Coturnix japonica: one gene and its partner. Each later gene encodes a partner of the first gene's protein in a complex. Links are inferred from orthologs where the notes say so. Each region holds a gene or a part of one and is shown on either strand. Other genes may lie near its edges.

What was found. The genes of interacting proteins can lie anywhere in the genome.
Region 2: MED13 (region 1) and MED18 share a complex: the UniProt entries of both Homo sapiens proteins name them as parts of the mediator complex. The link is inferred for Coturnix japonica from reciprocal best matches to the Homo sapiens genes MED13 and MED18.

What each region holds. Positions count from the first base shown.
Region 1 is NC_029534.1:6,168,881-6,172,631, reverse strand, and holds the start of MED13 (mediator of RNA polymerase II transcription subunit 13), read right to left. Parts: upstream 2,498-3,751; 5' UTR 1,888-2,497; coding exon 1,822-1,887; intron 100-1,821; coding exon 1-99. UniProt on the Homo sapiens protein: Component of the Mediator complex, a coactivator involved in the regulated transcription of nearly all RNA polymerase II-dependent genes.
Region 2 is NC_029547.1:21,930,346-21,933,552, forward strand, and holds MED18 (mediator of RNA polymerase II transcription subunit 18), read right to left. Parts: upstream 2,383-3,207; 5' UTR 2,270-2,382; coding exon 2,197-2,269; intron 2,031-2,196; coding exon 1,477-2,030; 3' UTR 618-1,476; downstream 1-617. UniProt on the Homo sapiens protein: Component of the Mediator complex, a coactivator involved in the regulated transcription of nearly all RNA polymerase II-dependent genes.

The sequences.
Region 1 (3,751 bases):
GCTCAAAATAGGGTCCTCTTCCGTCACCGGAAAGAGAATGGGGGCAGACGTTGGACCCTGCCATACGTATCGCTTCCATTTAATCCCAGTTAGATCAGCCTAAGGGAAGGAAAAAAAGAAACCATCAGACATCGGGGTATGTTCCCAATAGAAACAGCCAGCTGTAACAGGAACCACGCTTCTAAGCTCTGCGCACCTGAGAAGGTAAATTGGAAATAACCAGGCACCTGGTTTCTAAATCTCCTAATAGCTGCAGTAAAGTGAGAGCTGAGCGTTTTCACTGCAGCTTTAAAGCGACAGAGAAAAAAAACACCCCATTTGATTTAAAACAAAAAATGAAAAACGAGCAACAATTAGCTAATTCTTTGCAGGCTCCAAATGTCCAATCTTAGAAGCGCTCGCCTTAGCAAATAACCACTCACTTCATGCTCACTTCTGCTTACGCTGCCTTTTGAAATCCAAGATTACTCTGAGGATACAGGAAATAGGGAAAAAAAACCCAGCTCAGCCACACGTTCTGCCACTCCTCTGCTACTTCAGAAGATTTCACTGCTTCCCTATTGTAAAATTCCCTATCGTGTGCAGGAAGCTCCTCAAGCTCACTTATTTCACTCTGAGCCATCACGCTTTTCATTTCCCACCCCACGTTTTAAGAATTTAAATCCTGTTTCTCTCATTAAATTACACATCATTGGTTATGATCCACTAAATCCCCTTCTGGGCAAAGCTTCATCCGACTTTATAGAGCGAAGAGCTACCACCATACCTAGAGGGAAAGCGACAATTCCTGGATTATCCCCAACCCAGCACCACACTAAGTTCTAACACTGAGCTTCTCCCCCTCAAGCACTTCAGCCTTAAGGCCCTTTGGGGCTGCAATGCCCCTTAGTTCCCATCAAGAAGGCAGCACGGAGGCGAGGTGCTACTTGCCAACAAGTTACTGATTTCCACCTAAGATCACTGCAACATTTAAACCTAACATGGCAGCCTTCTACCTTGAGGAGGAGAAACAATTTAGATGGAAGCTACGGGGGCTGCAACAGTTGACATTCAGACAGCCTGGATTTACAAAGGTGGCAGCAGAATGGGTTGCAGGCCCCAAAGGGGTTCCCCCATCCAGCAGCTCCCACAGCCTGGCATAGGTTTTGTTGGTTCGGTGGATGCTTTTACTTATAATGATTTCAATAACAATGATGATAAAATACATCGGGCAGCCATCTGATATCGGCCGATTTGCATTAAGCCGATGAAGGAGGTGAGTGCAGCACCCAAATTGCATCACAGCCCAATGAAATCCAATCTGCGCTACCAAAAGGAAAAAAATCCCAACAATTTCGTACTGAGGTTGAATGAGGGGGGAAGGAAAAATAAAGAGCACAAAATGGTGCACAACGCATAGAAGGCTTTTGCAGAGTGCTTGGGGGTCTCGGGGTAAAGGCGGCGGGGGGTGGCTTAAAGGCAGGGAGAAGGGTTTGGGCCGTGGGATGCGTGCAGCGGGAAGGGAAAGGAGAAAGTTGGCCGAGGGGAGAAGGCACAGCTCCCTTCAGTAAAGAGGTAAAAGAAAGCCCAAAAAGTTGAGGGCAGGGCCGGAGCCGCGAAGCCCGGGCTGAAAGCGGAGGGAGGGGCGAGGCGAGGCGGCGGGGGGGCACGGAGAGAGCTGGGCTGCCGCCCGGCTGGGCCTGCTCCGAGGGCTCCTCCAGCAGAAGCTCTGCTAAAAATGGCTGCTTTGCTGCCACTGCCCGGCCTCCTCCTCCCCTCCCCCGGCCGCCTCCCGTTCCCACTCCGCTCACGTCGCGCGTGTGCGCGGCCTCGGGCGCTCACCAGGCAGAAGAGGTTGGAATGGCAATCCTCCAGGCTGGCCCCGTTCGGCACGAAGCAGGAACTCATCCTCACAGCCACAACCCACACGCCATTATCCCACAGCCTCCGACAAGAAAGAAAGAGACAGACAGAGAGAGAGGGAGAGGGAGACAGACACTGCGAGGGGACGGGGGAGGGGGCGAGGCACACGCACAAATAATAATGCAGTTAAATAAGGGCTTTACGTACACACATACACACACGGAATAGTGGTAGGATAAATAACCCGGGAGGGTGTAAGAGAGAGGAATGGGGGGGGGAGGGGGTTAAAAATTATTGTTATTATTTTTTAAAGAGAAACTCAGAGCGTTTTCTCGTCTGGATATGAAATAAGAAGGAGGGGGTGGAGGATAAGGGGAGGCAAAGGGGAGGACAGAGGGAGGCGGTGGGTAACGCAGCGCAGATTGGGATCAATCCCCGCTCCTCTTCTGGAGGGGTGATGTATCCAACAGGAGAAAATGGGGTAACGAATCCTGGGGGGGGGTTAATGGGAGAACCCGGCCGGCATCTCTCCTTCCTCTGATCGCGGGGAAATAAATAATCCAACGGGGTAATGAATCCTCCTCTTCCTTCGGGGAGAAAAGGGGCAACAGCGCAGCGCTCGGGTAGGGCCCGATCCTGGGCTCGTGGCTTCGCAGTCCGAGGGCAACAGGGTATATGTGCGTAAAGGGGGGGGGGGAAAGGAGGGGGGCTTGGGGGGGTTCTTCGTTTTCCCCCCCTCCAAAAAAAAAATAATAATAATAATAAAAAATTGCCAATAAATTAAAAATGTAAAATCATCAAAACAAACGCGAGGGGCCGGCGGTGAGGAGAGCCGGAAGGGTTGGAGAAGGCCGAAGAGAGGAGATCGTCCTGGGGGGGGGAGACCCCAAAAACCATCTGCGGGAGCTGATGGGGGGGGGGAAAGGAAAAGGAAGGGAAGGGGGGGATCCTGGAGAGGGAAAGGCCGCAAAAGTCTCCTCGGGGGGATGGGGGGAAACGGCCCCGTCCCCGAAATCAGCGCTGATCGTGGAGAGGGTGAGAATCCGTCCGTGGGGGGAAGGAGGGGGAGGGGGCTGGAACTGCGGGCGGCCCTCGGAGTCTCGTCGGGCGCGGACGGAGCGTCCCAATGGAGCCGTCGGGGGGAATCGCTGAGTCTTCAGGGGGCGGCCAACCCCCCCCCAACCCGGCGCCGGGTCACGGCGGGCAGCGAGGGGCCTCTGGGCCGCAACGAAACCCTCACAAGCCTCAACCCTTCACCCCCCCCAATTCCTTCCCGAGGTGGAAGGCGAGGAGGGACTGGTCCCTTAAAAAATAATGGTTAAATAAGAGAAAAAAAAAAGGAAAAAAAAAAAAGCGGGGGGAGAGGGAGGGAGGGGGAGAATAAAAATATCAAATGATGATCTTCAGCCGGTTGGTTTCTTCTGCGATGGGGGGGGATGTGTGTGGAGGAATAAGGGGGGGGCTCTTGCCGCCGCTCTCCTCAGGTGCGGGGGGCTCGGGGGGCTCCGGGCGCTGCGCGGGGGCGGTGGGCGGAGGAGCCCCCTCCTCCTCCTCCTCCTGTGGATGAAGTCTCTCGTCAGGAGGGCGGGGAGGCGGCGGCCGAGCCCCGGGCTGTGCTCCTCAGCACGAAGGGAACGGGCTCGGAGCCCCCCCACCCCCCAACCCCGACTGAAGGACGAGTCGGCCGCTGATCGATCGCTGATTGATTGATTGATCGCTGATTGATTATCGCTGCTGCTGGGCTGCCCCGGAGCCCCCGGCTCTGCTCCTCCTCCTCGCTGTCCCTCAGCGGTGCCTCTGTCGGCGGCTGCCCGGCCGCGGCATCGTGTTCATCATCCGGCTGCCCCCCCTCAGCGCGTGTCCCCCATGTCGAATGTCGGCCGGGTCGGGGCTCAGGGCACGATCCTCC
Region 2 (3,207 bases), on another chromosome or scaffold:
AAACCGGTATTTAAAGTTGAAAAGTATTAAAAATTATGAAGAAAAAAAAAAACCCTGTTTTGTTGTTCTTTCTAGTGTTTAAGGAGACTTATTTCAGTATCTTCTGCCGTACCCAGCCCTTGGGTTGTGTCTGAAGCTGTATGCCGCTTCATACACATACACTACAGTGTATGTAAAGCACTTAGCAGAAAGCAGCTTGACTGTGTTACCGAGGTTGCTGAAGTGAAAGCTGGAATATCCACATAAGCTGTTGATGTGTGAAACGTCTCACCCTGCACTCGCATATCAGAAGCATGTTAGACAATATAGAGTGCTTCCAAAGTTGTACTTCAGCTTCTGTGTTCATTTGTACAGAAATAACAACATTAGGGGAGAGTGTGTGGGGAGAATGGAGACCCAGGGCTGAGGAGTGCTGGAGATACAGCAACATTCGTGCTGTTAAAGCATGACAGCGACTGACAGCAATTGGTGTGTTTTAGTAAAAGGCAGCGTGGTTGTACGTTTCCATAATGATCTTGAGAAATGAAGACTACTTCATGTTTGCCCAAAATACTGGCTTGTATTGAGTGAAAAAGAATTGCAAAGAAAATACAAAATTAATGCAAATAGCTGACGGGTATTTTTGAAGATATATTTTTAATAAAACATACAAAGAGCACAAAAACACAGAAATAGTGGGATGCCTGACCTTGCTTTTGTGAAACTAATGCATCGTGCTGGGCTGATGGAAGTGGCTGTAAGCAGGAAGGAGCCTCTCTGTGCAGCCTGCTCCACGTCACCCCCAAATGAAGCAGTAATTCCTCACTTTGAGATGGACCTTCCTGTGTCCCAACACTGGGCAACAACAGTCAAAGCCTGGCCCCATCCACCTGACTCTCTACAGGCACATTCGGGGGCACTGGGCTCAACTTTCTGAGCCAACATATTGGCTGTGAAGGGTCTTAATTCTGTTTCTTCCCCCCAGGTTATAATTGCAGACCCAGAGCTTCCTGTTCTACACTAACAACAAAGCTGCTTCCAATAACAAACAGCTCCCAGTCTGGATTTGCTAGGAGGGAATCTTTCAGGTCTTTCAAATCTAAAACTAAGCAATTCCTGCAACTACTCCTTTCAGACATCAGGGACCGACTATCCAATGAATAATGCACTAAACAGACTTTTATTCTCTTCCATCTCTGGGAATTACATACATTCTGCTCTTATGCATATATGTAACCTGCATAACCAAATACCAAATGCTGGCTGAGCATCAAACAAAAACAAAACCAATACATCAAAGCCTTTTACCCCTTGCTCCCCAACAACATAAAGTCAATATCTCTATTTATAAGTGTTGCACCTTAATACTGCTTACTGCTCCAGCACAGAGAGGAAGCAGTGGAGCCCTGAACAAAAGTTCTGTGTGCATAGGACTCCAACCAGTCCCTGCACTCACTTCTGGCTACAGCAATGCTATGATAGTCAAGCCAGTTTTCATCACATTAACCTCTTAGGGTCAATTTTTTCCAGGTGTACTAAAGGCTTCAGCTGCTCTGCAAAGTTCCTCATATCATCAGAAACCATATCCTGTCCGGCTGGTGCCACAACATTAAGCTCTACAAGGTAGGAGAGGGAAAGCGGCTCGATGCTGTCCGTGTTACCAGGCATCAAGATACGGAAGATCTTATACACCACAATCTTCATGATCCCCTTTCGGAACACGTGTCCCTTAGCCACGAACTCGTGATCCATACGGAACCCCATCTCCACCAGGAAATCCGTCAGGTTGTCCGAGGTGGCGATGTCCACACAATTTCGCACTAAAGCGTGTCGGTTTTTATCTCCGATCTCCGGCTGCCCCAGGTACCTCAGGTGCCATGGCATGCCGCTTTTATCCATGGATCGCCGGGCACGCAGCACGAAGGGGCTGGCCTGCTGCCCCTTGAGCAGGAACACCATCTCGTGGTCCAGGAAGGTCTCCGGCTCCATGTTGTCGCACAGCCCACGCAGGCGGTGCAGCAGGCTCTCCAGGCTCTGGTCCAGGACGCTCCCTGTGGTGGACACACACGGCTCAGACGATGGCCCCTTCCCCGCCGCAGCGCGGGGCCGAGGCAGGCGGCGAAGGGGCCTCCGCGGGGAGGTACCTCCCCTTCGCCGCCCGCCTCGGCCCCACGCTGCGGCCGAGCCCCGTGTACAGCCCCTGTGTGCCGGCCATACCTTGCAGCAGGTACTCCATCATGTTAATAGTGCCGCCCGTAACGGGCATCATGGTGACGGGAGGCGCCTCCATCTTGGCGGCTGTGGTAAAGATGGCGGCGGGAAGAAAGGCAAGGCCTGAAGGAGGAGGCGGGCGCCACAGTGCGGCCTGGCGGTGAGGAGCAGCCGAACATCGACCAGCTCCCTTTCCTCCTCACAGACATCCAGTTATTCATCCCCAAGCACACAGCACTGCCCCTTAAAGGCAGATGTAAAGAAGGCATCGAGGAACTCAGCCTTCTCCTCCTCAGAGAATCCCAGCCTTCTCCTCAGTGATCACGTTCCCCGCTGCATCAAGTAAAGGTTGGGCATTTTCCTTGGTTCTCCTCTTACTTTGATGTACTTGTAAAGGGATTTTTTTAATGTAACGGCTTCTGCAATACCAGGTGAGAAGTGCTGGTATCACAGACCCACTTCAGTCTTTAATACTGCACTGTATGCTGGACAGTTTTCCTTAACCTTTTGTTTGCTAGGTTATTTCACTGCATCATGAGGTAATCTGAAAGTATCACAATTAAGCCAGTAAATCTAGGATTATTTTACTCAAACTGAAAAAGAAGTTCTGTACCAAAATGTACACGACTTAGTCATAATACAAAATGTTAATTCTACAGCCAGTTAAATCCATCATAATGAACGTTGAGCCACTGTTTATTGTCAGTACAGCGTTACTTTAAATAAGCTCACTGAGTGAACACAGAAATAAAGTAGATCTTCCTCAAATAAAGTGACAGCTATTAACAATACTCCAGGAAGATGTGCATCCATGGTATTTGCATGCTGTCGTAGCATATCTAGCATGTAGTACGTCTTCATGCTTGCACAGCAGCTTTGTGAGCTCATTACAATAATGTTGATTTGGTGATGCACTACAAGACAACCCATATGACTTACATTGAAGCTGAATTTTAAAGAGCACCTCTGCTAGACACCCGTTTAAAAGCTCCACCACATTCCTGTAGCGAACACATC